Linked DNA regions of Elephas maximus indicus. The protein of the gene in region 1 interacts with the protein of each later gene in a biochemical or structural test. Links are inferred from orthologs where the notes say so. Each region holds a gene or a part of one and is shown in the gene's direction. Other genes may lie near its edges.

Evidence for each region.
Region 2: of the proteins of SERPINF2 (region 1) and ELANE, one has a biochemical effect on the other in vitro, tested with the Homo sapiens proteins (2 studies listed by BioGRID). The link is inferred for Elephas maximus indicus from reciprocal best matches to the Homo sapiens genes SERPINF2 and ELANE.
Region 3: the proteins of SERPINF2 (region 1) and PLG form a complex in vitro, tested with the Homo sapiens proteins (2 studies listed by BioGRID, with this or other methods). The link is inferred for Elephas maximus indicus from reciprocal best matches to the Homo sapiens genes SERPINF2 and PLG.

What each region holds. Positions count from the first base shown.
Region 1 is NC_064837.1:19,983,344-19,993,301, reverse strand, and holds the start of SERPINF2 (alpha-2-antiplasmin), read left to right. Parts: upstream 1-5,714; coding exon 5,715-5,777; intron 5,778-5,923; coding exon 5,924-6,001; intron 6,002-6,138; coding exon 6,139-6,201; intron 6,202-6,402; coding exon 6,403-6,706; intron 6,707-7,184; coding exon 7,185-7,328; intron 7,329-7,454; coding exon 7,455-7,658; intron 7,659-8,180; coding exon 8,181-8,323; intron 8,324-8,654; coding exon 8,655-8,859; intron 8,860-9,534; coding exon 9,535-9,944; 3' UTR 9,945-9,958. Other genes in the region: WDR81 (WD repeat-containing protein 81), read left to right, coding at 357-502, 847-1,026, 2,044-2,364.
Region 2 is NC_064821.1:596,185-605,917, forward strand, and holds ELANE (neutrophil elastase), read left to right. Parts: upstream 1-5,689; 5' UTR 5,690-5,703; coding exon 5,704-5,770; intron 5,771-6,186; coding exon 6,187-6,343; intron 6,344-6,611; coding exon 6,612-6,753; intron 6,754-7,514; coding exon 7,515-7,745; intron 7,746-7,912; coding exon 7,913-8,113; 3' UTR 8,114-8,190; downstream 8,191-9,733. UniProt on the Homo sapiens protein: Serine protease that modifies the functions of natural killer cells, monocytes and granulocytes. Inhibits C5a-dependent neutrophil enzyme release and chemotaxis. Promotes cleavage of GSDMB, thereby inhibiting pyroptosis. Promotes blood coagulation.
Region 3 is NC_064819.1:232,833,443-232,843,904, reverse strand, and holds the start of PLG (plasminogen), read left to right. Parts: upstream 1-6,260; coding exon 6,261-6,309; intron 6,310-10,462. UniProt on the Homo sapiens protein: Plasmin dissolves the fibrin of blood clots and acts as a proteolytic factor in a variety of other processes including embryonic development, tissue remodeling, tumor invasion, and inflammation. In ovulation, weakens the walls of the Graafian follicle.

The sequences.
Region 1 (9,958 bases):
TAATGTAGCACTTAGTACATATTTGGGAAGTGACTGCTTGATTATTTTTTGGCGTTGTTGTAGGGAGAGAGATGGTTAAAAAGGGGAAGGGGATGGAGTAGCATTGGGGTGGACAGAGGAGGTGCCATTTGGTCGGGGGGTGCTGTGTGAAGACTAGCGGTTCCTTTGGGGACAGGCCTGACCTTGCCATGGAAGCAGGAAGGTAAAAGGGTAAAGAAACATCTTCAGCGTTTTTCTGAGGGCCCTCGGAGCCTCGGCCTAGGCAGCGGATCTGGGGTAGGTCAAGGGGCTAGAAGGGGACCAGGGCTCTTCCATCCGATGTTGGGACTCCAGATCCACTCTGTGCTTCCTCCCAGGGAAGCCCCTTCGCACAGTGGAGCCGTTGGACAGTCGGGTACCCTTGACCGCTGTAGCTGTCATGCCCGCCCCACACACCAGCATCACCATGGCCAGCTCTGACTCTACCCTGCGCTTTGTGGACTGCAGGAAACCTGGCCTGCAGGTAGCAGGAGCACCCATCTTCCTGAGTCCTGGCTGGGGTACCTGGCAAGGAGGGGAGGCCCACAAAGACAGCCAGGGTATTGTCTCCAGAACACTTAGTGTTTGTCTTTGGAGATAGATCACGCACAGCAGCAAATCCTGGGGCTGGGACTCTGGCCTGTGATGGAAGCTGGGAGGGAACGGAGGAGAGGAAATGACACTGGGCTCTTCCCTCCTCTTGGTAGGTGGACAGAGACTCAATCCTCTTGCTCTGTGGGCTCAGGTGGTGGGTAGGACCTGTAGGGAGAAGCGGGATGGGGCGGGTGGGATGGTGGTCCCTCACTCTCAGTCTCCTTCCACCTGCAGCACGAGTTCCGCCTGGGCGGTGGGCTGAACCCTGGGCTTGTCCGCTCCCTGGCGGTCAGCCCTAGTGGCCGCAGCGTCGTGGCCGGCTTCTCCTCAGGCTTCATGGTGCTCCTGGACACCCGCACGGGCCTGGTTCTGCGTGGCTGGCCCGCCCATGAAGGGGACATCCTGCAGATCAAGGTGAAGTTCCAGGTCCCCTTGCCCTCCTCACTGCCTAGCCTGGCTCCAGTCCCCACCCTAGCCCTTCATCTCTGCTGACACCTACTCAAGGACAGGCAGGCCGGGAGGGTGGCCCTCCTGGGCCAGCTCAGGAGCCAGCTGTGGTGCAGGGGCCTGGGCTAGAGGCAGGCCATGGGGGCGGGAGCAGGGGGGCAGAGCTGACCCTGCTGCTTCCTGGAGATGTTCTAATGAGTAACCCTTGTCCATATTTGTCTTGCTTGGAGGATCAGGGGTCGGGCCCTGTCCATGACCCAGTTCAGGTTAAATAAAGCTCAGTTGAGAGGCTGTTTACTGCCCCTAGCCCACTGAGCAGAGTCCATGCCCCTCACTGGGCTGCTCTGGTTGGGGAGGGGCAGGCCTGGGTGTGGGGGTCCTGCCCGCATCTTCTACCCCACTCTAGTGCTCCATCACAGGCCTCAGGGAAGGAACAAGACTATTTGTGGGAAGGCTTTTCAGGCAGCTGGGACTCTCCCACCCTCCTGGATGGAGGCCAGGGGACATGCACTGCCACTGCTAAGGGCAGGCTGCTCCAGGCTTCCTTCAGGGACCCAGGGACCTCTGAATTCAGACATTCCAGCAAAGAGCCAGGAGGACTCTGCATTCAACCTGGGTGTTAATCCTGGCTCTGCCATTTACTGGGTTTGTGACCCTGGGCTGATTTCTTAACTTCTTAACTTCTCTGAGTCTCAGTTTTTCCCTCTGTAAAATGGAGACAATGACAACACTTACCTCAGAGTTGTTATGAAAATTTAATGTGTAATGTTACATGCCTAGCATGTAGTAAGTTCTCAAACTACAGTGATGATTAGGTTGTTAACACTCTACTATGTTAATGTTAGCATCCTATGACAGAGAGGGCCACAGTCTGTCATCCACTTAGGACACCCCATCTTCCCTGTGAGATGCTGTGGGAGGAGATGGGAAGCTCCCTGGGGTCTGTGGGCTCAGCCCTGCTGAGGCTCTCCTCTCCCTGGGCAGGCGGTGGAGGGTAGTGTCCTGGTCAGCTCTTCCTCCGACCACTCCCTGACTGTCTGGAAGGAGCTGGAACAGAAGCCCACGCATCACTACAAGTCGGCATCTGACCCCATCCACACCTTCGACCTGTATGGCAGCGAAGTGGTCACTGGTACTGTGGCCAATAAGATTGGCGTCTGCTCTCTGCTTGAGCCGCCTTCCCAAGCCACCACCAAGCTCAGCTCTGAGAACTTCCGGGGCACGCTTACCAGCCTGGCCTTGCTGCCCACCAAGCGCCACCTCCTGCTGGGCTCTGACAATGGGGTCATCCGCCTCCTGGCATAGACTGAGTTGTGGGCTGGCTGGGCCAGGGTTGGCAGAAATCCCCTGGAGTCCATCCCTGCTCCTTGTTCCCCCAACTGCCTTTCAGGCAGGCCTGTGTACCTACATGGCCAGCCAGCTGGGGCCTCCAACTGGGCTGTGCCTGGGCCTCTGAATCCCTAAAGCCACCGAGGCTGCCAGGTGTCTCACAAGTCCTCATGGCTTGGGAAGATGCTCCCCGCAGCCAGCAGGAAGCAAGAGGGAGAGCGTGGGAGAGCAAGTTCCCTTGCTTCTCCTGGACTTGCCCTCTGGGTCCATCCACGTAGGGATTAGAAGGCTCCAGGAAGGGGAAGGGAGACTGGCCCTGTCCAGCCAGTCTCCAGCCAAGGCCCCTGTTGCTGGACTCTGTCCCTGCTCTTCAAGGACAGGGATGCTGCCCTGGACCAGGGCACTGATGGTGCTTGGACTCCAGCCTCTGGGGGGTGGGGGCTGGCCGTGGTTCAGGAGTTAAGGGCCTTAGTCTGGGGCATAAGTGTCTACCCAGCCAGGCCCTGCCCGGTGTGGGACCAGTGGGGGAAGAAAGAGGGTAGGACTAGTGGAGGGAGGATGAGCTGGGCCAGCTGGTGCCAGCCAAGTGTGACCCCATGCCTTGCCTGCCCACCCCCACCCGCAGTGTTTGTGCCTTGAACTGAGGAGGCAGCTCCTAGGCCCAGAACCCCTCTGAGGGGGGAGGGTCCAAGACCCCGAGAGAAGGGGCAAGAAGAATCATCTCTGCATCTCAGTTCTCTCCCAGGGGACAGGAAGACCCAGGCATCCCTTGGTGCTCACAGTGGAGCTGAGATGAGGTCTGAGGCTCAGCCCTGCTGTCTCCTCACTATTTGCAATAGATGTAAATCTGACCAATAAATCCTTTGGAAGAGCATGGATGGAGTGTGGCTGCTCTTGATGGTGGTGTCAGGGCGGGGAAATCTGAGACCCAGCAGCTTCCAGGGCAGTGGGGAGGGGGAAGGGGGACGCCAGTCTGGCCACTGCTCTTCGGGTGGCATGAGGTATGGGGCTTTGTTGTATGCAGCCCCAGGCTGGTTTTCAGAACCCTCACCCTTGGGGTGGGTCAGGAGGCGTTGCTCGCAATGAGGTAGGACTTGGGTACCTCTGAGGGAGGCTCCATCCTTTGGCATGCTCCTCTCCCCACCCCAGGCTGAAGACAGCCAACCAGGATCCTGGGCTTGTAAGGGTTGGGGGTAGGCATTCTAGCCCAGGCTCTCGGCATAGACTCCTACAGCTTCCTCTTCCCTCCCCCGGGGCCTGGGAGGCAGCTGTGGGGGAGAGGGGAGGACATTGGAGCAGGAACCGAGATGTGACCCTGGGCTCAGCTCTGTGGCCTTGGCCAGGTCCACGTAGCCTCTCTGAGCCAGGCTGGAACGGGAATCATCCCCACCTGTAGGGCCTCTGGAAAGCTTGATATAGGGCCAGGCCCCTGCCCTTCCTGGGTCTGCCCTCACCTGCCCAGGCCCAGCCTCCTCCATTGTCTCCTTCTGCACCTCCTTTCTCCAGGCTCAGGTGGGATCCAAACCTAAGGGGGCTCCAGGGTCTCTCAGAATTAGATGCCTGGTGGGAAAGGGGTGAAAGGGGCTTCTGGCCCCAATATCAATGTTTAACCGGATGTGCTTGCCAATATTTACCAGAAGAGAAAGCAATCCTGAAAAGGGGTTGGCTCAGAGCAAAGGTCCTGGTGGGAGGGGAGGGCTAGGCTGGCCTGGCTGGAGCTGGGCAGAGCGTGGGGAGCACCAAGCGGGGCCAGAGGAACATCGTGTGCGGCAGCAAGGAGCCTGAGGAGGTACGAGGGAGCGGGGGCTTGGGCCTGCTCCCTGGGGCAGGAGATGAGCTGAGAGTTGGTCCCTGATGCAGGAGTCTGCTCTGAATTTGTTCAGGAGGCCTGGAGATTCCCAGCGTCCTGGGGTGGTGAGGAGCCAAGGCTGGACCTTTGTGAGGGGAGACTGAGTGGGAAGTGGGGCTCAGTTTGAAGAACTGAAGTCCTTTTCTTGTGACCCACCCCACCCCAGTGCTGTCGAGTCAACTCCGACTCATAGCGACCCTATAGAATAGAGTAGAACTGCCCCATAGAGTTTCCAAGGAGCGCCTGGCGGATTCAAACTGCCTACCCTTTGGTTAGCAGCCATAGCACTTAACCACTATGCCATCTTCTTGTGAGGAACACTCAAAAACCCAGGCTGTAGCTCAGGGCCAGGCCAAGGGCCCTGCCTGTCGTGGGGAGTAGGGTTAGGATGACAGGCCTTCCCAGTGGCCTGGCCCTGAGAATGGTGGTAGCCCTACTCTGGGGCTCCAGCTGGGGCTGATTTATCCTCCTCCTTTTTTTGTCTCAGACTAAGACCTGGTGGCTCAATGGTTAAAAGCTCACCTGCTAACCAAAAGGTTGGTAGTTAGAATCCACCAGCTGCTCTTTGGAAACCCTATGGGGGGCAGTTCTACTTGGTTCTATAGGGTCACTATGAGTTGGACTTGACTCTATGGCAATGGGCTTTTTTTTTTTTTAGGCTAACACCTGCTCATCCCAACTGTCACTCAGCAGCCTGGCTTCTCAGAGCTGGCCTGGGGCAGGGTGGGGGGTGAGGCCTGTGATTCCCGTAAGTCCAAGGGTGGCTCTGGCTGGAGTCATTCATTGGGCTCCACTGCTAGGTCAACAGGGCAGCTCTAGGGTCAACCCCCCACCCCTGCTGTGTCTGAGGACCTCAGGGTTGCATGCCTGTCCCCGCTGTGAGAAGGGCTGGCCACATGGACAGCAGGTTGTGTAGGGGCTCTGGGTCAGGGGAGACCTTATGTGGAAGGGCTTCAGGGCAGGCTCCCCAGAAGGGGGGGACCCTGAGCTAGACTGAGAACAGCCATGAATGAAGTACCAGGCATTGTACTCAGTATTTACAAAGATGGCCTTATTAGGGTCTTCACTGCACCATGGGAGGAGATAGGGACTTTTGCTGCCATTTTCAAGATAAGTCAAAGCTCCGAGGGACTTAGGAAGGTACCCAGGTCACCCTAGCAGGAGGCAAGCCTGACTCATAACATGAGGCCTTAAAGAACAAGGATTTTTTAAAAATAATACTTTCTTTCTATTAACCAAAACATTCTCAGTGCTGGAAATGTGAAAAACCAGAAAGAAAACACAAACAGAAAAACAAGTGCTGGGAGAAATCCCAGCCTCTCAGAGCTGAGAAGCACCACTAATGTGTTTTGGGGTCATGTGCCATAGCTCAGGAGTTTGTCTTGTCTGTGAGCATGAGTGTGGTGGGTTGGATTCGGATGGCTGGCTGTGGGGGCGTGAGGTGGGAGCTGAGGCTTCCTGTCCCTGACACAGGAACATGGCACTGCTCCGGGGGCTCCTGGTGTTCAGCTTGTCCTGTCTGCAAGGCCCCTGCTTGGTGGTGAGGAGGGGCCCCTGTCTCGTGGGGCAGGGGTCGGTCAAATTGAAGAGGCTGGGAGGCAGTGGTGGGAGAGGCCAGAGGTGCTGAAGGGGAGGAGGAGATGGGCCAGGCTGGGAGGGGAAGGAGGGGACAGGATTTGGCTCTGATGGGGTCATCCCCTCCCACCTTTGTCCCTTTCTCAACAGTTCTCTCCTGTGGGTGCCGTGGGGCCCTTGGACCAGCAGGTACTGGGGAGTGAGGTGCACGTGAGAGGGAGGGAGGCACCAGGGAGGAGGAACTGGGTCTGAAGCCTCACCTGTGACCTGTGCAGGGTGGGGCCCACAGGAAGGGCCACTCTCTATCTGCTTCCTTCTCTCTGCAGTTCATAAGTGGGGAGACCCAGGAGAAGCTGCCTCTGCCTCCCCTCCTCAAGTTCGGCAACAAGGTACAAGCTGGTGGGGCTGGGAAGAGTAGGCGGAACCAGAGGAAGGAGGGCCAATCAGCAGGGGTGAGGGGCCTAGGAGGGTGGCCTTGAGGTTGAGGCTCTGGAGTTTGGAGGCAGAAGGGAGATGGTTGGAAGGATAGAAGGAATGGATGTGGTCCCCAGAGTGCCAGCGTCCACCACATTCTCTCTCTCTTCCCTCAGCACTGGGACAAGATCCTGCCACACCCAAGTGCCGAGGCTATGAGGGAGACCTTCAACACAGAGCCTGGAGATGACACCTTGAGCCCACTGACCCCAGAACCTCCCCAGCAGGAGCCTGATGCCCTGAAAAGGGCCCCAGGAGACTGCAAGGGGACCTCAACCCCAGAGCAGACCCGCAGGCTGGCCCAGGCCATGATGGCTTTCACTACAGACCTATTCTCCCTGGTGGCCCACACGTCAACCAGCCCCAACCTTGTCCTGTCGCCCCTGAGCGTGGCCCTGGCACTGTCTCACCTGGCATTAGGTACCGTGGTAGCACCCGTCCAGATTGGCAGAGATGGGAGGCCAGTAGGAACCCAGTCGTCCAGAGTATTGCAGTGGGTGGCTCCTCCATCAGAATCACTTGGGCGTTTGGTAAAAATGCAAATTTCGGGTCTCTATGAGTCAGAATCCCAGGGATTGGGCCCAGGGATCTGCCTACGCACAAGTTCGCCTGGTGATTTTTATGCAAGAGTTTCATTGCTACAGTGTCTCCCATTGGACTGGAGGGTCTCCTTGTGGGAAACTGAGGTCCAGAGAGAGAAGGCAATTGCGAGAGTGAGGTCACCTTGCCTTCATGGCGGAGATGAGAGTAGACCTTGGGAGTCCAGTACTTGGTCTGGCATTGGGAGGAGAGTTGGTGGCCCTGTGGGTATGCTCATGGTGGGTATCCAAGAGGGACTGGATGAACGAGGCCTGGAGGAACCCCCAGCCTGGGCCACAGCCCATACGTTCCCCTCCAGGTGCTCGGAACCAGACGTTGCAGAGGTTGCAGCAGGTGCTGCATGCGGACTCCGGGCCCTGCCTCCCCCACCTGCTGAGCCGCCTCTACCAGGACCTGGGCCCTGGGGCATTCCGATTGGCTGCCAGAATGTACCTGGAGAAAGGTAGGTGCTGAGGGCAGAGCTCCCTGGGGGTGGCCGGGGGTGAAGGGGATGGGCTTGGCCTTGGGTAGTAGCCTGGGCCCAGCAGATCCTGAGCCCTGGGAACAGTTTGCTGCCTCTTCTGTGTAGGATTTCCCATCAAAGATGACTTCCTGGAACAGTCGGAACAGCTTTTTGGCGCGAAGCCCATGAGCCTGACGGGAAGACAGGGGGATGACCTGGCAAACATCAACCAGTGGGTGAAGGAGGCCACGGAAGGGAAGATTGAGAACTTCCTCTTGGAGCTACCTGAAAACACAGTGCTGCTTCTCCTTAATGCCATCCACTTCCAGGGTGCGGCCTTCCCCTTCTCAAGTACCCAGGCGCTGGAAATCCCCACCCTTGGTTTCCTCTGTGTTGCCCTGGAGGCTGAGTTGGGCTTGTTCTGAGGGTTCCTCTCCCTCTTAAGGGCCATAAGGCAGGGAGCCAGAAGAGCTCTCTGGATAGTGGCTTGGGGGAGGGGACAGGAGACAGGGAAGGGTGTGGTGGCGAGAGGGCCTAGGAACTGGGTGGTAGTGGGGCCTGTTGTGGAGAGGACACCCTAGAAGGAAGGTGGGTATACACAGACCCAGGGTGACTTCCTAGGAACACTGCAGGGGCTGGGAGGGTAGAGCCCAGATTTAAAAAACGCTGTAGGGAAGAGACCTCAGAACAGCGGTGGGGGTGGGGGGCGGGGTCCACTGCACATAGCCCGAGGAATACTGGCCTCTACCCCTTGTTCTGTGAAAAAGTTCTGGGTGGGATGGGAAGAGGCTGGTGTTGAGGAGCCCACCCTGGTCCCAGCCCTTGTGGCCTCTGCCCTCCACCTGGATGCAGGTCTCTGGAGGAGCAAGTTCGACCCAAGCCTCACCCAGAGAGACACTTTCCACCTGGACAAGCAGTTCACAGTGCCCGTGGACATGATGCGAGCCCACAAGTACCCTCTACGGTGGTTCTTGCTGGAGCAGCCTGAGATGCAGGTCGGCCTAGGTTGCCTGGGTTCTGGCGGTGGGGAGGGGAGTAGGCAGGAGCTGGGGACGGGGCCCTACCTTCCTGTTGCAGGGCAGTCATGTCCTTAGGGCTGGTGGCTCTGAAAGATCTCTCTGTCTCCCTACCCAGGAGGACCTAGTAGGGTCCAACTTGCAAGGTGGGCAGCTGGTGTGACTTCATTTCACAGATGAGGAGCTGAAGGCTCAGTGAGGCAGAACTTGATAATCCCATTCATCTGTCTCCAAAACACATGTTGTCCCAGACGCCGCCTGGGCTTGGGTGCTTGCTGGTCCTCACGTTGCCTCCTTCCCTTGTTTGCAGGTGGCTCACTTCCCCTTTAAGAACAACATGAGCTTTGTGGTCATTGTGCCTGCTCAGTTTGAATGGAACGTGTCCCAGGTGCTGGCCAACCTGAGCTGGGACACCCTGCACCAGCCTTCAGTGCGGGAGAGGCCCACCAATGTCCGGCTGCCAAAGCTGCACCTGAAATACCAGCTGGACCTGGTGGCCACCCTCAGCCAGCTGGGTAAGGAGGCTGGGTATGGACCAGTTGGATAAGGAGGCTGGGGCAGTGTGGGTGAGGAGGGAGCCACTGCCTGGCACTGGGTATGGGTCAGAGCTAGCGTTATGTCCTACCCTTTGCTGGGGCATAGGAAGGATGAGGGGATTCGATATGAGCCCCTGAACCCTCTGTTCCTGGGGTGGGCTGGGAGGCCCAGGAAACGGGGATCTGCTTTGCCCAAGAACATTGCAAAGACCCCCAGGTGAGAGCCTGGGGTAGCCTCCTAGAAGGAGGAGGAAGATAAACTGGGATTTCACACTGTTAAGGAGATGCATCCACCCATCAGTCATTTGCTAAGCAACTTCTATGTGCCAGGTGCTGTACTAGACCCTGGGAGCACCCTGTGTACAAAGAGCTCAGTATAACAGGCTGGGCAGACAAGGAATCAGACATTTCCTGTTCAGTATAAGTGATAAGACAGAGGGGAGCTGTGGGAGAACATTGAATGGCATCAAGTTGCACTTCAGGAAAGGCTTCCAGGAGGCAGTGCCATTTAAGCTGAGGCTTGAAGGTTAAATAGTAGTTAGCCAGCGGATCTGTGGGCTAACAGATCCAGGGCCAGGACTCTCTACCAAACAGGTCCAGCCAGGCAGCTGTGGGCAGAGGTTGGCTCTGACCAGCTGTCTGCTGCCCTGGCAGGCCTGCAGGAGCTGTTCCAGGCCCCAGACCTGAGTGGGATCTCTGACGAGAGCCTGGTGGTGTCCAGCGTGCAGCATCAATCCACCTTGGAGCTGAGCGAGGCTGGCGTGGAGGCGACCGCGGCGACCAGTACGGCCATGTCCCGCATGTCCCTCTCTTCTTTCAGCGTAAACCGTCCCTTCCTCTTCTTCATTTTCGAGGACACCATAGGCTTGCCCCTCTTTGTGGGCAGTGTGAGGAACCCCAACCCTGGTGTGCAGCGGGAGCGCAAGGAGCAGCAGGATTCCCCGGACAACAACTCCTTCCAGAACCTGAAAACCTTCCCCCGCGGAGACAAGCCGTTTGGCCCTGACTTGAAACTTGCGCCTCCCTTGGAGGAGGATTACCCTGAACCTAGCAGCCCCAAGTGAGGGGCCGTGGCCGC
Region 2 (9,733 bases), on another chromosome or scaffold:
TGGGGGCGAGGGTGGCTCCTGATTCAACCCCTCCTGTAGAACCCTCCCTGCAGGCCCTGAGGCTGGACCCCAATCCATAATGGGGGGACTTTGGGCAGAGGCAGGGCAGATCTTTCCGGAAATCTGCTTTCTCTAAGCAGTGTCTATGGACCATCCTTCTATCACCCCGACCTGTTCCAGACACTTCACCCCCCCAGGTGACATCAATAAAACACGAACCCCTTCTTCTGGCTCCTTGTCTGTCCTTCCCATGTGTGGAAATAGGAGGCTGCCCAGAGTCCCAGGGTCTGAGTACCAAACCCCAAACTCAAGATGAGGGCCAGGGCAGGGGCCTGGGTGCCCAGTCACAGCAGTAGGCTCTGACCTACCACAGATGTAGTTCTAACCCAGCTCACTAGTGTGACTCTGGGCAAATTGCTGGCCTCCTCTGGGCCTCAGTTTTCTCATCTGGAAAGTGGAGTGCCCTGATATCTCCAGAACTGGCCCATGGGGCTGAGGGTGTCGTGGCTAGCCCTGTCCTGCAGCTCGGGGGCTCCTTACCAGGCTGTTATAACATGCAGGTGATCAGGGCTGTGATGGGGCACACCAGAGCCTGTGGGGTTCCTGACCCAGCTGCAGGTGGGAGGAAGGGCCGTTAGGGGGACTTCCTGGGGGAGGCAGCAATGCCTGAGCTGAATGTCAAGAGAAGGGCCCACCAGGCAGAGGCATGGCACAATACCAGGAACAAGCTTGGGGATGTGAGGAACAGTGAGGCACGTGGGGAGGTGAGAGGGTTGGACTATACAAGGCTACTTGGGACATGGTGACAAGGTGGATTTTATTACTCCTGGTATTGGAAACCTTCGTGGTGTAGTAGTTAAGTGCTACAGCTAATAACCAAAAGGTCAGCAGTTCAAATCCACCAGGCGCTCCTTGGAAACTCTATGGGGCAGTTCTACTCTGTCCTGTAGGGTCACTATGAGTCCGTAATCGACTTGACAGAATAGGGAGCCTCTGAAGGGGTAAGCAGGGGCAGGATGCCCCCTGGCTGCAACATGGGAAATGAACTGGAGAGCAGGGGTGAGCCCAAAGGAGATGCCCGAAGCTGAGAAGAGTCAGGGGTCATCAGCCAGCTGTGGAGAGTGCAAGAGTCCACAGGAATGAGGCACCCATGCTGGTAGGACACACCTAAAGTTGGAAGCAGCTCCTTTCTTATTACTTTACTCTGCCGCCACCTGGTGGCGGCATACCAATTCAAAAAGCCTGAGATGGGAAATGTATATGGATGAGTTTCTGGGAACAGGAGCACTGGTGGTGCAGTGGTTAAGGTCTTGGCAGCTAACCCAAAGGTGGGCGGTTTCAACCCACCAGTCTTCTTGCAGGAGAAAGATGTGACAGTCTGCTTCCGTAAAGATTTACGGCCTTGGAAACCCTGTGGGGCAGTTCTACTCTACCCTATAGTGTCACTGTAAGTAAGAATTGACTTGATGGCAGTGGGTGTGGTTTGGTTTTGAAGTTTCAGGAGGGGGCTGGGAATTCTCAGCCTTTTCCTGCAGCCCAGGGCGGGGGAGTTTTCTGCAAAAGGTCCAGAGGGAACCAGGCCCCCCAGTCTATGCCCAGCATTGGAAGGAAACCCGGTTTGCTGGAGGAAACACCCAGGGTAGTATTAGCCCTTTATGGGGACAGAAAAACCCAGAAAACGTCAGTCCTGGGCATTTTCGATGGGCTCATATGTGTGAAAATTGATGCAGAGGAAAGTTTTGGAAGGAAGCGTAGCAAAGAGAAGACCCCAGGGGCTGGGGGTGCTGCGTTGATTGGCTAGAGGTTGGCAGGGGTTGTTGAAATTTAGGCAACAAACCCACAGGAAGAACAGGCAGAATGGTCAGCAGATGAGAGGGAGTGACAGGTCCCCCGTGGGGGCCCAGGGAGGGGTCTCGGCAGCCAGGGGCCACACAGCCTGGTGGACCACTCCTGACAGCTTAGGGGCCTCCCAGCCTCCAGTGGGTGGGGGAAAGACGGTCAAACTATTATTTTCCTATTGCAGCGTAACTTGGATCAAGCACCGTGCACATTTCGTAATTGTAAGCTCCATAGCTCTTTACTTGGTTATAGCCCCTATTACCACTATTTGGTTATCGAAATAGAACTTTCCAGGTCTCCAAAAGCCCCCACATCTGTGTAGATTGAATTCTTGGTTTATATTTAAATACGAGTCTTCTCCCACGCGTCTGTCGGTTTGTCGTCCTGTGGCGTCTTGCAAGCCACCGGTTTTCAAATGCCAGCAGGGTCGCCTATGGCAGACAGATTTCAGCTGAGCTTCGAGAATGAGACAGACTAGGAAGAAAGACCTGGCAGTCTGCTTCTGAAAAGAATTAGCCAGTTTCGAAAACTTTATGAATAGCAGAGGAACATTGTCTGATACAGTGCTGGAAGATGAGCCCCCCAGGTTGGAAGGTGCTCGAAATGAGTCTTCGAGCAAAATAGTGTTAATAACCAAGTCTCTGGTGGAAGGCGCAGTGGTTAAGAGCTATGGCTGCTCGCCAAAAGGTCAGCAGTTGGAATCCACCAGCCACTCCTTGGAAACCCTAGGCTGCAGTTCTACTCTGTCCTACAGGGTCGCTATGAGTGGGAACCAACTTGATGGTGATGGGTTTTTATTTTTTAGTGGAATCGGGTTTCGATTTAAAGTCTTAGAGCTTGTCTTTTGTTATAAGGATAACAGTTTTACACACTCTGATAAGGACAAGGAGACCAACCGAACTTCGGGTTTAGAGCCGAGGAGGATTGTATCCAGCGACTTGTGTACCAGTTATTATAGATAAACTTCACAAAAACAGCCTCACACACACACACGCTACTCACCCGTGTGTACGCAGGCAAGTGGGAAAAAATGACTGAAGATATCAACACTTTAGCCAAAGAGAGGCTCTCAAATACATCACCACCAGCACCGTGGAGCTGACGCCGACTCACGGCGCCCCCGTGTGTGCTGAAGCAGAACTGTGCTCCATGGTATTGTCAATGGCTGACTGTTCAAAGCAGATTGCCAGGCCGTTCCCCTGACGTGCCTCTGGGTGGACTTGAACCTCCAACCTTTCAGTTAGCAGCCGAGCGCTTTAGCTATTTGCTCCATTCAGGGACTCAACTACAATATAAAAAACCAACCAAACCCAGTGCTGTCGAGTTGATTCCGACTCATAGCGACCCTACAAGACAGAGTAGAACTGCCCTGTAGTTTCCAAGGAGCGCCCGGTGGATTTGAACAGCCGACCCTTTGGTTAGCAGCCATAGCACTTAACCACTATGCCACCAGGGTTTCCAAATACAATATAAAAAAAAGCTGTGTTAATTTGGGATTACAATACTTCGGCTAGAACAAGGCAGAATTCATCCCTTTTAAAGAGCATCCGTGAGATAACAGACTTAATGTAACAGGTATCTTTCTCTGTTGACAGCACGTTCAGCCCCGTGTGCCAATGGCTCCTTTCTGCATTTGTGTAGATTACTAACCTGGTCTTGACTGTCTAAATTTTTAGGCTTAGTACACATGCATTATTTACTGATTAACAAATAAATAAGTGATTTATTACATGTTTGATAAAAAAAAGCCCCCGTGTGCCCCTCTCAGTCTATACCCTCCACGTCCCCCCTTTCATGAGATAATTAATGGTTAACAAACCCTCAAAGACAGTGCTTTGTTGTCTAAGCACTTTACAAACATTATTTCGTTTAATCCCATGAGATGGAGCCTGTTATAACTTGGAATATGCAGACGAGGAAACTGAGGCACAGAGGGATTAAGTGAGTGGCCTAAAGTTACACAGCAGGCAAGCGGAAACAAACCGAGATACGAACCCAGAACTGACACCCCTAATGACCATAGGGTGTGTGAATGTGGTATACAGGTGATGCTCAATAAATGCAGCCTTGGTTAAGTCTGGTCTCCCTCCCTGGGCCAAACTCCCCCAAAAGACATGACATCCTCCACTCTTCCCCCATCCACCATCCCTAGACTTGAAACAAGACTGTGTATGCAGCAGGTGCATACTAAGTGCTCTATGGTAACTTTAAGGCAGCAGAGTGGGGATCCCACCAAGGACAGGAGCGGGGGGAGGCAGGACTGGTTACTGCGTGTCTGACCAAGCTGGGGACGAAGAATGGACATTAATTGAGCACCTGCTGCATGCTAGGTCCTCACTGAAGAGTCCTGGGGATTCACCTGCCTGCAGTCACACAGTGAGGGGGTCCCCGGGACAAACAGGACCTAGGCGGGGCCCAGGCTCTGGGTGTCTCTGGGCTTCCCACCCCGTCTGCCCCAGAGACGGGTCTGTTGGCTCCCTTGCCTGAACTTGTCCTGGAGCCAGGGAGCCGGGGGACGTTGTGTCTTGCGACATCCTTGGCTGTAGCCGTTGCAGAGGGAGTATCCTGGGGGAGGTGGGAAGAGGAACCAGGGTCTGGGGGCTGGGCTGGGCCCTGGGGGACCCCCTCTCGTTGTTTGGACTGGGCTTCCTCCACAGGGCCAGGCCTAAGCTCTCAAGCCTGATGGAGACCCACAGCCCCCTCCAGCCTGGGAAGGAGTCCTTTCTCCAGCCCCTGCAGCAGGCACAGCAGCTAGACCACAGACAGCCTCAGGCCGGGGGAGGGCTCACAGAAAATCAGCAAGGCGGGGGTGGGTGGGGTGGAGTCCTTCCCGGAACCTCTGCTGGCCTCCAGAGACTGACACCACACCCTCCCCACAAGTGAAGTGAGTTCCCTGTCATAAGCAATAATCAAATAAATGCTGGAAGGCTAGGCCCTGAGAGGGACCCTTGAGGCTCGGGTGGAGGACAGCAAAGCCAGGACCCAGAGTCTGCCTCAAATCACTGTCCAGCTGTGATCCCCGGGGGCAAGGTTCAAATCCTGGCTCCCCCCACTACATCTCTGTGTGGCAATTCATGGGGGACTGTCTATGCCTCAGTGTCCCCATCTCAAATGGGGACTCAGCAGTTCCCTCATAACCCTGTGAAATGTCAGGGCAGCTCCAGGTTATGGTTACCCTATCACTGTCATCATCATAGCACCCCAGGTAAACTGAGGCACAGGGATGCACCTGGCTGGGCTCCCTCAGGCCGAGGGTGACCAGATTTAGCAAAAATACAGGATGCTCAGTTAATTTTGAATGTCAGAAAAATAATGACTCATTTTGTAAGACAGATCAGTCCCAGGAGAGGGACATCATGCTTGGTAAAATAGAGGGTCATCGAAAAAGAGGAAGACCCTCAACAAGATGGATTGACACAGTGGCTGCAACAATGGGCTCAAACATAGCAATGATTGTGAGGGTGGCACAGGACAGGGCAATGTTTCGTTCAGTTGTGCGTAGGGTCGTTATGAGTTGGAACTGACTTGACGGCACCTAACAACAACAATTTTGTAAGTATAAGTATATCCTGTGCCGTTTTTGGGACATACTTATACAAAAAATAATCAATTGTTTATCTAAAATGTAATCTTAACTGGGCATCCGGAATTTTATCTGGCAGTCCTACTCATGCTGACCTAGCCTCCTGCACCCCCATGCTATTCTAGCACCCCGTTGTCCCCCACAGCCCCCAGGAGTGGGGAGAGGAAGTGGGGACGCCTGGCCCTGCGGTGGGGCAACCACAACGGCCTCCCATGTCGGGGCTGGCTATAAGAGGGGTTGGTGGGGCTGCAAGGGCAGAGACTTGGACTCCCTGCCTGACCATGACCCACAGCCACCAACCCTCTGGCCCTGCCCTCACCCCCCTCCTACTGGCTGTGCTCCTGGGCGGTGAGTAGCGTGTGGGTCCATACATCTGTGGGTGCCTGTTCCTCACATCCCCACTGTGAGCTCGATCTACGTGACTCCTCATCCTTGTGGGAGGTGACGGCTGGGCTGAGGAGCCTCTTAGTACAGGAGAAGAGCTTGAGGTTCTGAGTGGCAAGGCCACAGCAGGGGCCCAGAGTCAGGGTTTGAACCCTGGGGTCAGAGGTTACCCTCTGGGGCTCAGAAGTGGGGTCCAAGTCTGGATCCGGTTGTGCCTTGGATGGAGTGACCATGGGCAGATTCCTTCTCCTGTCTGTGCCTCAGTTTGCTCATCTGGGAAACGGGTGGGAGGAGCCTGACCTCATGGATTCCTGGTAGAGGTTCAAGTAGCTGGGCGGGGTGTCCTTGGCTAGGGCTCATGGCTCCCTCTGTCTCCTCAGGCCCTGCGCTGGCCTCGGAGATTGTGGGTGGCCGGCCAGCCCGGCCCCACGCCTGGCCTTTCATGGTGTCCCTGCAGCTGCGTGGGGGCCACTTCTGCGGAGCTACCCTCATCACCCCAAGCTTCGTCATGTCCGCGGCTCACTGCGTGAACGGCATGTGAGTCACCCTGGAGGGCTGTTTCCCTTCTGGGAGACTCAACTCCCACATCTGTAGAACGGGAGGGGGTGAGGCCAGGGCCCCGGGTCTGTGTGGACAGGGCCCCCAACAGTGCACCCCCTCCTAGGCCCAAGTAGAGGCATTCGTCAGAGGGGTGTGGGAGGACGCAGAGGTGAGGTTCCTTCAGGCGCAGGGCTGAGTCCTGGGGTCCCCCCCACTCTGAACTCCTGGACCACCCCGAATCACTGCCCATCCCCCCTTGCCGTAGAAACTTCCGGTCTGTACAGGCAGTCCTGGGGGCCCACAACCTGCGTCGGCGTGAGCGCACACGGCAGACGTTTACCGTCCAGAGGGTCTTTGAAAACGGCTTTGACCCCACGAGCTTACAGAATGACATCGTGATTCTCCAGGTGCCAGGATGGGCGGGTGGTGGCGCTCAGGCTGGAGCCGGCAGAGGCGGGCAGAGAAGGGACAAGAGTGTGGGGGACACTTTGGACCAGGTTGCGGGGCCCTCAGCAGCAGACCTGAGGTCGAATCCAGGTTCTAACCAGGCATGTCACCCCCTCCTAGTGCCTTAGACCCCTCCTCTGTAAAACAGGGGAAAAAAAAACCTGCCCCATAGTCTGCCGAGAGGATTAAAGGAGATGATAATACAGCGGGTTGTCAATAAATGAGGCCGTTGCTCTTGTATACTGCCTGGGCCCCTTCACTCACTGACCCTGTGGCCACAGGCAGAGACGGGTCCCTACCTCTGTAAAGTGGGGTAAAACTCCCCACTCTCGGGCAGGTAGGAGGCTCGAGGGAGAAGCCCCTACCCCAGGCTAGCAAGGTGACTATGTTCTATAACAAGGCTTTTGTTGTTAGTCACCTTGTCCACAGTTTACTTTGTGAAACATCTACCTTTTACTGCGCCCAGGTCACGTCCGAGGGTACGTCCAAGGGAACTCCCTCTCCCAACAATGTCGCAAGCCACTGTGGTTGCTCCCCTTTTATAGGTGGGGAAACCGAGGCTTAGGATGGGGAGCAGCCTGCGGCGTGGGTGACGTGCTGCGTGAGACCTCAGAACTCACCTTTTGATGGGGCCTCAGTGGGGAAACTGAGGCACAGAGCGGGGACGGTCACTGCCTGCCCTCCTTCGTGACCTGCTGTTGGTCTGTCCTGCCCCCGACAGCTCAATGGGACGGCCACCCTCAATGCCAATGTGCAGGTGGCCCAGCTGCCCGCCCAAGACCGTGGCGTGGGTGACGGGGAGCGGTGCCTGGCCATGGGCTGGGGCCGGCTGGGCATGAACCAGCCACAACCCAGTGTCCTGCAGGAGCTTAACGTGACCGTGGTGACCTCTCTCTGCCGCCGCTCCAATGTGTGCACCATCGTGCATCGTCGGCGGGCTGGCATCTGCTTCGTATGTACACTGCACTCCCCACCCCATGCTCCCCACCTTCCTCCAGGTCCAGGCTGCAACAGCAGGGACTGTGGTCAGACTCCAGGAAGGACTTCCCACGCTCTCGAGGGTGGCAGGTGGGCAGTGGGCCTTGTAGTGCAGCCTCCTGACCTTGTCTGCCTCCACAGGGAGACTCTGGCGGCCCCCTGGTCTGCAGTGGAGTGGTCCAGGGCATCGACTCCTTCATCCGGGGAGGCTGCGGCTCTGGGTTCTACCCAGACGCCTTTGCTCCTGTGGCACAGTTCGCAAATTGGATCAACGACATCATCCGCGGTCATGATGATGGCTCCTCTCCCCACTCCAGGGACCCTGTGAGCAGGACCCCCTAGGAGGGACTGCCCCCGTCATTCCACCTCACCTGCTCATGGCTGCATTAACCACTGGCACAATAAAAACCCTCTCTGTTTTGTAGAATGTGTCTGGGAATTTGTTGCCTGCGAAACTGGCTGTTGACTGGTCAAGAAGCTGTCTTGGGACAGCTCCAGTACGCTACCACCAGGTGGCGACAAAGTCAGGGCATTGGAGCAAGAAGTGAGCCCACTTTCTCCTCCACCCTCCACCAAAGGATGCCAGATAACCAACCATTGTGGTGCAAAGTCCTGGTCAGGAGCCTGGGTTTAGGATTTCCCAGACTTGTTTTGGTTGGGACTCTGGGCAGGTGGCTTGCTGCTTCTCTGAGCCTCAGTTTCCTTGAGGGAGGGAGTGAGATGCTGTCTGGGAAGGACTAAGCCAGGGCTTTGGGTCCCAGGCCTCCTTTGTCCTCACTGGGTGATGCAGACAAGCACCCCCCACCTCCCCAGGCTCAGTTTCCCCTCTGACAACTGGGGCAGAGCATTTCCCAAGGCAGCCCCCAGCCCAAATGGAGGACAGGTCCAAGGCAGCAGCCCTGGGGAAGGGGCTGGCCCAGGCCCCTCTGTCTGCCTTCCTGAGCCTGATGAGGACCCCTCTCAGGCCACAGTGGGGGCCGTGACACACATGGCCTCTGTGCCATTGTGTGGCTCACAGTCTGACGGGGGAGGATACCAACCCAAACCAGCAGATAAAGGACAGCGATCAGGTCCTCCTCATGAACTCTGAGTAAAACGCCCCTCCCTCTTGTTCCTGGCCCCAAATCCTTTCCCACTGGAACGCACTAGCAGGGCTGGCCCCCACCTGAGCACCTTTGCCCAGGCTGGTTCATCCCCCTGGCCGGCCCTTCCCACAGCTGTCCCCGAGGCAGTTCCCCTTGTCACACTTCCACCCAAGTGTCAGCTGCTCAGGGGACAGGGAATGACCCACTGCCCAGCAACTGCACACCCTGGCAATCTTCCCACACAGACCAGCGTCTGAGGGAAGGTTGGGGATCCTCACTGTCATCCTTGCTGCATTTCCAAGTTTTGTTGTGCTCTCTAACTCAGCACCCTAACAGGCTTTTGCTCACCGTTTCTGATTTTAATAAGGAAATGTGTTTTAAAACAAAACAAAACCCGTTGCCGTTGAGTCAACTCCGACTCATAGCGACCCTATAGTACAAGGTAGAACTGCCCCATAAGGTTTCCAAGGAGCAGCTCATAGATTAGAACTGCTGACCTTTTGGTTAGCAGCCTGAGCTCTTAACCACTGCACCACCAGGGCTCCAGAACACTGTTAGAATCTAACAAATCACATTTCTTGCATTGTTTTCTACTCTTCTCTGTATGAAATAGTTCACTGGGCAGAGAAACGAAGCAGAGGGAAAAGTATTACGTGGCTGCGCTCACATGGGCAGACATGACACCCACCCACTTCTGTCCCAGCGCCTCCGCCCTCTGGGTCCAAGAAAGCTTGACCCACCATCACCTACGGAGGGCCACGTGACCCACGCTCGGCCAATCAGAACATGCCCATCTCCTGCCCACAGTGATTGGTTTGGGACGGGACATGTGATCCAAATTCAGCCAGTCAGAGGCAGCCCTGAGACTTTGGCTAAA
Region 3 (10,462 bases), on another chromosome or scaffold:
GCTCCCATGAGGTTCAAGAACATAAAACCTTGTGTAATAAATTGGGATGACTCTAGACCAAGGCCAATTTGTGGAAAATGATCTAGATCTCCTGAGAGAGAGTGCACGATTAAAGGAAAAAGACCTTACATGCAGAAGTCTATCTCAACACCATGATGTCAACACCATGACACCAACACCATGACATACCCTGCACCACAGCATCAAGGTTGGAGGGTTCGCTGGTTTGAGACAGGTTATGGGGCAACGGTTTTGGTTTTTTGGAGATACACAAGTGTGTGTGTATACCAAAAAACCAAACCCACTGCCATCGAGTTGATTCCGACTCATAGCAACCCTATAGGACAGAGTAGAACTGCCCCATAGAGTTTCCAAGGAGCACCTGGTGGATTTGAACTGCCAATACTTTAGTTAGCAGACATAGCACTTAACCACTACACCACCAGGGTTTCCGTGTGTGTGTGTGTGTGTGTGTGTGTGTGTATTCTTGGAAGAAGTATAGCCAGAGTGTTCCTTGGAAGCGAGAATGGTAAGACTTTGTCTCACGTACTTTGGATATGTTATCAGGAGGGACCAGTCCCTGGAGAAGGACATCATGCTTGGTAAAGTATAGGATCAGCAAAAGAGAGGAAGACTCTCAATGAGATGGACTGACACAGTGGCTGCAACAATGGGCTCAAGCATAATAATGATTGTGAGAATGACACAGGACCAGGCAGTGTTTCATTCTGTTGTACATGGGGTGGCTATGAGTCAGAACAAACTCAAGGGCATCTGACAACAGCAATATATATATGTACACACACACACATACACATTTTTTACCTTTTATTTTAAAATAATTATAAACTCACAAGAAGCTCCAAAAATAGTACTGAGAGGTCCTGTGTACCCATCGCCCAGTCTCCCCCAAAGGTGACATCTTACATAAGTTACATTTCTATAGCACAGTCTCAGGACCAGGGAATTGCCATTGGCATGATTTAATGAACTTGTCTACAGACCCTACGCAGATTCCACCAGATTTTTCACTCACTTATTCTTTTTTCTTAAAAGATTTTATGTTTTCTACATGCCTTGTCTCCCCTAAATACCGTGATAATCTTGAGAAAAAATATTTTTATCTTAATTAGCTTAGCGAACAATGAATTGTAGAGATGGGAATGTGTTGGTTTACCTCTAGCCTAGGCTCTTGTTTTATGCATAGTGAATCACAGCTCAAAGGAGAAAGGACATTAGCCAGGTCTATTTGGAGTCCATGTGCCTGACTCAGTGCGGTCGGGTCGATTACCTGGGAATTACTATCTTCTCTGCTAACATTTTTCTTAAGCATAGTACAAGTCTGATGAGGAGACAGCCTACGAAAACTGATTTATTTTTGAAAATGAATAAACATCTCAATTTCCTCAAGCACAACTAAGAAATATTACTTCACAGAGCACTGAATTGATCAGTCAAGTCTGACTGAAAAAGCGCTCCCAGCAGCTTACATTTTAACCACTGTGCTAAGTGAACGGTTCTGCCATCTCTTTACCGGAGGTGAGGGCTGATAAGCCTCTCACTACCTGGCCCCAGAGACGGATGACCAAAACCAACAAACACGGGGTAAAGGTCGCATAAAGAAATGGAAGACATCTTCCGGTTCATTAGAACATGCTTCCCTGGTAATATGCCCTAAAAACTGACACAGTAAAAGCAACCTGCAAATTGACATCAGGAGCAAAGACAGACTTGCTAAGAACTCTCGCAACAACCAAGGGATAAATCGATTTGAGTCCTTAAGAGATTAATTCTTTTTTTTTTTTTTTTTTTGGTGTTTTCGCTTTGAAGCGACAAAGTCTTCCTGGGAACATTCCAAGAGGTTCATGGCAAAGAAGCAAGTTGTTTTAGAATGCGAGTTCCCAGATGGCAAAGCCTGGGGCTGAGGAAGGTGGAGGCAGGGTAGGAAGGCGCTGCAGGGCAAAGATCTGAGGCCAGTACTGCAAGGTCCTCATGCTGTGTGAAACCTTGTCACCTGGGAGGTTGTGACCACGTAAAGGGGTGCAAGTGAGACTGAGGGGCGAATTCTACCTCCCTCTCCCAGCGAGGCTGGCCTTTCCCATGTTCACAACTACCAAAGACGTTCCCTGTGAGGAAATTCCTTGCAAGGAATTTACCATCCTCATGTTGGGAGTGACTGGCTAATTATTTCCTTCCTAAAAGAACCTGAGCAGATATTGGTTGCAGGCCCCATGCTGGGCAAGAGCTCAGGGGATTAGGCTGAACTTCCATCTCATTTTAATGTCCTTGTCCCTAACTACACGTGTGGCTGCTGCGGCTCCACAAATCTATGTGCAAAGGCTTCCTGTCACTCCTTTGGGGTGGGGGCTCGGAGAGGGTAGACACTGTGATTTATACTTTTTACATAAGCCTAAAAGAGTCTAGGAGTCCTGGTGGTGCAACGGTTAAGCATTCCCCTGCTAACCGCAAGTTTGTTGGTTTGACCCACAAGTGGCTCCTCGGGAGAAAGGCCTGATAACCTGCTCCCTTAAAGATTAAACCAAAAACAAACCCACTGCTGTTGAGTTGATCTTTCTTCCATGAGGCAGCTGGTGGGTTGGAACCACTGACCTTTTGGTTAGCAGCCAAGTGCTGAACCACTGTACCACAAGGGCTCCTTCTGTAAAGATTACGGCCCATAAAACCCTATGGAAGCAGTTCTACCTTGTCATATGGGGTCACCATGAGTCGGAATCAGCTTCACAGCACACAGCAACAACAGAATCTAACACAGTACTGTACACACCAAACCAAACCAAACGTGGTGCTGTCGAGTAGCCAGTAAATACTTATGAATTGAACGGAATAAGAATACACATCTCAGAGTTTATTCAATGTTGTAATAAATGTACAGAAATGGTCTCTCTTTCTACATCTCTTTTCTCAGTTTCTGACATTCTTTCATGGGGCTTGTTTTGAATTAGTTGCCTTTGGAGCCGGGGCAAAACAATAGTCCAGCCTCCCTCTAGCAAGCTAGTGTGGGATTCCTACACACACTCAGGAGAGTCCATTGCTTTCCACCTACCTGGTCCTCTGTTGTAACCGAGGGGTAGGGCTGGGCCGTGATGGAGGTCTCTGTGCACCCACCCCAGTCTACACTTGAGCAACACCTCCCCTTTGCTCATCTCTGCACGCTGTAGAATCCGGTGGACGACAGCAAACATCTGTTCAATATTCCTCTGTGCTCTCATGATGCTACTGTATTACAAAGGTGGTGAAGAATGCATAGAATCAAATGCATTCTAGAACTATCTGGGGGAAGGGGGCAAAAGGTGTAACACCACCACTCAAATCAACAGGAAAAGGAAAATTATGTAGGTGTAGAATTTCTGATAACCTCATTCCTGAAGTGCCTCATCCACGAGGCAGTGAAAAGATAACACTTGAAAGGAAACAAAAACACACTGGAAACATCCTATGATATTATCTTACAATATTAGTTATGTTATAATATTAGTTCTTTTCCCAAAGTACTATACTCTCTCAAACACAACTGTAGGCCCCTAACAAAACATGTCAGCTATATCCAGGGAAATGTCTGCCTAGCATTGATTTCTCAGTGTGCCTCCACCTTTGGTGCCAATAAACTGGCCACCAGGTGAGAGGAAGAGGGTGGAGTGAGGCGGGACAGGCTGGGGAGAGAAGCCAGCCAGGCTGAAGCAGAAAATCAAGAAGTGACGATGGGCCATCTCTGCTTCCACAAGGGGATGCACTGTTGTTCTCAAGGACGTTTTGGTCTGGCGAAGTCCGCCTAGTGCCTCCATCCTGGGGAATCCATCAAGGTAAGTTCCACACCCTTGCCACCCATACACAATGAGCCCTGGAGGTGCAACAGTTAAGCACTCAGCTGGTGGGTCAAACCCAACCAGCTGCTCCTCGGGAGCATCCTTGGAAACCCTGGGGGACCGTTCTACACTGTCACGTGGGGTTGCTATGAGTCAGAACTGACTTGGCAACACACAACAACACACTTCGCTAGGTGATACTGAGGAAGGAATTTGCTGGCCTAGAGAGAAGAGTATATGCTTTCTTGTCCTGATTTCACATTTAAAAGAAAGAGGTCAATTTCACTGTCCCAACTATTTTTGAACACTGAAATAGGAATTTTAAAGCTTATACTATCTGGAAAATCTGGTGGCTTAGTGGTTAAGAGCTACAGCTGCTAACCAAAAGGCTGGCAGTTCAAATCTACCAGGCACTCCTTGGAAACCCTATGGGGCAGGTCTGCTCTGTTCTGTAGGGTCACTATGAGTTGGAATCGACTCGACGGCAACTGGTTTTTGGTTTGGTTTACTATCTGGTCATTCTAGCCTTAAGTCAAGCAACACTACAGAATCAGCTGTTAAAATGAAGACAGGCTCTTTATTTTTTATTAACTTTTATTGAGCTTCAAGTGAACGTTTACAGATCAAGTCAGACTGTCACATATAAGTTTATATACACCTTACTCCGTACTCCCACTTACTGTCCCCCTAATGAGTCAGCCCTTCCAGTCTCTCCTTTCGTGACAATTTTGCTAGCTTCCAACTCTCTCTATCCCCCCATCCCCCCTCCAGACAGGAGATGCCAACACAGTCTCAAGTGTCCACTTGATATAATTAGCTCACTCTTCATCAGCATCTCTCTCCTACCCACTGTCCAGTCCCTTCCATGTCTGATGAGTTGTCTTCGGGAATGGTTCCTGTCCTGTGCCAACAGAAGGTTTGGGGACCATGACCGCCGGGATTCCTCTAGTCTCAGTCAGATCATTAAGTATGGTCTTTTTGTGAGAATTTGGGGTCTGCATCCCACTGATCTCCTGCTCCCTCGGGGGTTCTCTGTTGTGCTCCCTGTCAGGGAAGTCACCGGTTGTGGCCGAGCACCAACTAGTTCTTCTGGTCTCAGGATGCTGTAGGTCTCTGGTTCATGTGGCCCTTTCTGTCTCTTGGGCTCTTAGTTATCGTGTGACCTTGGTGTTCTTCATTCTCCTTTGATCCAGGTGGGTTGAGACCAATTGATGCATCTTAGATGGCTGCTTGTGAGCATTTAAGACCCCAGACGCCACATTTCAAAGTGGGATGCAGAATGTTTTCATAATAAAATTATTTTGCCAATTGACTTAGAAGTCCCCTTAAGCCATGGTCCCCAAACCCCCGCCCTTGCTGAGACAGGCTGTTTAAACTTTGGATTTTACCACTCTTTCTTTCATAGAATGGGGATATAATATATTGCACATTCATTTGAGGGAATAGATATTTTTATAATGTACAATTTTGGCCAACACACGAACCCACTGGGAATAAAGAAATGTTAATGATAATAATAATAATAATAAACTATTTTACTTACGTAGCAACTCCATGATGTTGGGTGGGAAGTTGGAGTCCCTGGGTCCTGTGAACAATTAACACACTTGGCTGCTGACTGAAAGGTGAGAGGTTCACCTCTACCTCCACCCAGAAGCACCTCAGAAGAAAGGTGTAACACTACTTCCAAAAACGTCAGCCAGTGAAAACCCTCTAGAGCTCAATTCTACTCTTGACACATGTAGGGCCGCCATGAATAGGAATCGGCTTGATGGAAACTGGTTTGGTTTTTGTTTGTGCAGGATGTGGGGATTTTAACTATAATGTCTTAACCCAGGATAATGTCTTAGCTCAACTAAATTTATAATCTAAGGCCTAAATAGTTTGTGTTTATTCAACTTCATCCCTTGTTAGCTGTTTAACCTCAGGCAAGTTAACCTCTCTGAGGCTCAGTTCTCACTCCTTAAAATGGGGTAATAATAAGATTGCCTCCGTCAGTACTGGCAGTGAAGGTTGAATGGGACAGTGTGTATGCACCACTGACCAGAGTGGGATGAGGAAAGTTCTTAGCAAACGTTAGCTATTATTATGACTATTATTTTATCCAAAAGAAAGGGATTGAAAGCAGAGGGGGAAGAGGAAGAAGTGGGTGCGAGGGGAGGACCAGGCGACAGGCAGGAGGTGCGGGCGGCCGAGTGGGGGAGAAGCGCTTTCACCACTTCCCAGCATTTATTGCAGGTTCTGCTCTCAAACATATTTTGTAAGATCCCTATTCAAGGTACTGTTTGGACCCTTTGGAGTCCAGCAGCAGGGCCACCAAGGGAATCATTAACTTCACTGGATTATCTTGTTTGTGGATGTATTGACTCTTTGGGAGTCAGTAACATTTTGGGATTGGGACACACTGTTTCCTGGACATTGTTGGTCAGCCTCAAAATGGAACAGACGAAAGTGGTCCTTCTATTTCTTTTATTTCTGCCACCAGGTAAGGTGTAACATCTTTTATTTTAATCATCATGTTTCCTCCTAGCAATGCATGACTGTGCCAGGTTTCGTACCATGGTTTTAGGTGTACCTCGTTTACTTTAGCTCGTGGTTCATGAGCGTCCCAGTTCAAAATCTACTATGAGATTAAGGAATGCTTCAGGAATAAGCTTAATCTCGCTGTGAACACTGCAGGGTGTTAAAAATGAATGGGCAGAGACAATCAGGAGTGACTTTTCAAAGCTAAGAGATTGAGCCCAAATGATTTTAGCTGGAAAAAAACCCCATACAGCTAACAAACCTAAAGGCTGTCGTTGTTAGTCTCTTTGCCTAGTTCTCAGTTGGATTAATCCAGAACATTTTTATGAAGGTATCATGCTCCCCTCATTTCAGAATTTAAAACAATGAATTCTCTCTTGGAGTGTATTTGACCAGAGTGCAGTTGGATTCCCCGTTTCCTTGTTTGATCTGGTTGAAGTGAGACTTTCCATACTTACATGTCTCCTTCTTCTGCTTGGAGAAATCCCAGGATCAACTTGCCAAACGATGTGTGTGTATATTAATTCAACAAATATACACTTAGTGCTTGGGGTAGGCCGCTTTTCACACGTATATACACGCCTCCTTTACTCATACTTGCTTTTTTATCACCTGGTGAGATAAATTCAGTACATCCATCCCCGTTGTGAGGGCGAGGGAATCCAGACTTGGAGGAATCCTGTGAATTGCCCACTGACCAAACTACCAAATCCAGGAAGTGAAGGAATCAGGGTTTAAACCAGGGCTTTCCAAGGTTGAATCCAGTGTTCTTGCTGTTTCAACTTTTTTTAAACCTTCTTTAAAATTCATATTCTAAACATGACCTAGCTCCTCGTTTTTCCCTTTTAAATAACTTTATTGAGATATAACTCACATGGCAGACAAGTCACCCATTTAAAGTATACAATTGAATGGCTTTCAATATATTCAGAGTTGCGTACACATCACCACAATCAATCTGAGGGCATTTTGGTTACCCCAAAAAGAAACCCCTTAGCCATGAGTCCTACCCAACCCCCTCCCCACCATTACACCCCCTCCCCCATCTGCTTTCTGTCCCTACAGAGTTGCCTATTCTGGGCATTTCATAGAAATGGAATTGTCCAATAGGCTGGTGTTCTTCCCACAAACAGTGCACAGACACTTGACGGTTGCTTTATAAATTACCAGATAAAAATTTTCAAGTTGCATTTTAAACAAGAACCAAATATATTTGGGTTTAATGAGAAGACATTTAAGAAATATCAAAGAAAATACAGAGCAGGAAAGATTAAACAAAGACTTTTGTGAAAAGCAGTTGTGTTTGTGTGTGTGCATGTGTGTCTGTGTCTCTGGGTGCGTGTGTCTGTGTGTTTCTGTGTGCCTGTGTCGCTGTATGCATGTGTCTGTGTGTGTATGCATGTGTGTGTGTGTCTTTGTGTCTGTGTGTGTGTCTGTGTGTGTGCGTGTCTGTGTGTGTGTGCGTGTCTGTGTGTCTGTCTCTGTGTGCGTGTGTCTGTGTGTTTCTGTGTCTGTGTCTCTGTGTGCATGTGTCTGTGTGTGTATGCATGTGTGTGTGTGTCTTTGTGCATGTGTGTGTCTCTCTGTGTGAGTGTGTGTCTGTGTGTGTGCGCCTGTGTGGAGGGAGGCTATGCATATTCTTTTTCCACCCATGGAAAGAAGGAGCTGGAAAGATGAACTTACTTAGTGGGTTACACCCAAGTGTTAGAACGAGCTTCCCCGCACCAGGATAGCATGTTTTAACCAGCCTAGGAAAACCCCTGTCTTTCATAGGCTCTTTTTGAAAGGAAAGCATTTACCCTGACTTTCCATGGAAGTAACCTTCATCTTTCCAGTGAGCTGAAATACCCAGGGAGAGGCAGACTTTTTCACAGCTGTGCTCTATGAAAGCTGGATATGTGTTTTGCATTTCAGGAGCCACTAAGTCTTTTCTTTCAAACACACAAGCATGTGTGCACATACACACACCAGTGGTTTTTAAAACATCCCCATTATTAACAAAATACGCTTGTTTGGGCCGCAATATATGCCTATATTTGGCCTATAATATAAAAATGCTTTTCACCAAAAAATGTGTTAATATTTCTTCACCAACAAATAAGCCACATTATAGCCCATTGCCATACGAACTGCAGTGGTATAAGAAAAAAAAATGTGGAAAACCTGTTAAAGAAAAAAGCCACAAATAGATTCTCTTCCTGGATATTTCTTTGGAATGTCAGCCCCTAAGGCGGATTCAGCTGGTCTACACGACGTAATTTGCTATGTATCTAGAGGCAACATAATTAAAGGATGATATAAACAGGAATTTTCTTTTTGAATACCACTTAGAGCCTAGCCTGCTATACTTTCCAGAACTCGTGAAGTTTAATTTAACTCTTTATAAAATTCATTTTATAGGTTTACTGTGCGTTCGTTTTTGAAATCACATCCTGGTCTATAGAATTTACCAAAGCACAATTCTTCTTGGGACTGAGGGTTTAAATGGGAAGAAAATACAGAGTGGATTTCGATCTGGACCTAAGATCCATATTTTCCCACAATTTTTTGATACATTTATTAAGTGCTGCTTGGTGTATTAGGTTTAGACTGCATCAATCAACTTCCTGTTCAATAACCCATCTTTTTACTGTGGAGTGTCTTAACTTGGGGAAGGGAGCAGAAGCAGGTGCAGGGTGTAGGGATGGGGTGAGCTCTGCCTTAATCTCTTAGGGTGATCTCCCTCTGTTCAGCATGCGCATTTTCTGGGTGGGCAGGCAAGGCCTTTCCGAGAATGAGGATCTGCCTTAAGGGTCCTTTCTGCTGGAAAATTTTATCCAGCATACAAACATGCTTCAGGAGGTCTCATCTTTAAAACAGGTTTGATGACGGCACATTCCCTGCTGCTTTCTCAGCAGACTTTTGAAAGCCTTGTGTCTTAGTCATCTAGTGCTGCTATAACAGAAATACCACAAGTGGATATCTTTAACAAACAGAAGTTTATTCTCTCACAGCCTAGGAGGCTAGAAGTCTGAATTTAGGGCAGCAGCTCCAGGGGAAGGCTTTCTCTCTCTGTTGGCTCTGGGGGAAGGTCCCTGTCATCAATCTTCCCCTGGGTCTAGGAGCTTCTTAGCACAGGGACCCCAGGTCCAAACGACATGCTCCGCTCCTGGTGTTGCTTCTTGGTGATATGAGGTCCCCCTCCTCTCTGCTCCCTTCCGTCTTTTATATCTCAAAAGAGACTGACTCAAGACACAACCTAATCCTGTAGACTGAGTGCTGCCTTATTAACGTAACTGCCTCTAATCCTGCCTTATTAACATCATAGAGGTTAGGATTTACAACACATAGGATAATCACATCAGATCACAAAATGGTGGACAACCACACAATACTGGGAATCAAGGCCTAGCCAAGTTGGCACACATTTTGGGGGGACACAATTCACTCCATAACACCTTGTCTTCTCATGTGTTCCCACTGCCATCTTCTTAGCCGCTCTTTAGCCCACTCACCTGGCTTTGGTCCTTCCCTCTCCCTTTTACGTGGTCAAGGGTGCCATGGTACCTGATCCAGTGAAAACGTTGCTATCTTCACCTTACCTCGCACCTTTGCGGAAGTCATCCGTAGTCCGTGCCCAAAGGATGGAGCTGGCTTCTCCAGACTTGGGTTAGTTGTGCCAAAGCCAGGTCAGGTGTTACATGGAGACCCAGAACAATGGACACCCTTTGCAGTCTTGTCTGCGGAAACATGGCCAGAGCCCCATTGGCCACTGTCTGCAGTAGCAAGGGAGGAAGCAACTGTCAGATTCTGGGCCTCCAATTTTATCTCACAGAAAAATCACGGTCAGCATTTGTTCTAGACTCTGTTTTTCGAGGATATCCTTCCCAAATGCCAGGTCCTGTCACCATTGTGGCAAAACTTATCAGCAATTTATTGTGATGTGTCACTTCACCCAGTATAAAAATGACCTTGTATTATAGATGAGATTCTTACCGTCCAAGGATTTTTGCCCAAAAGGAACCACAATTTAGTTTCGCCAGTCGCTGTGGAGTCGACTCTGACTCACGGCGACCCCTGTGCGCCAGAGCAGAACTGTGCTCCACAGGGTTCTCAATGACTGATTTCAGAAGCAG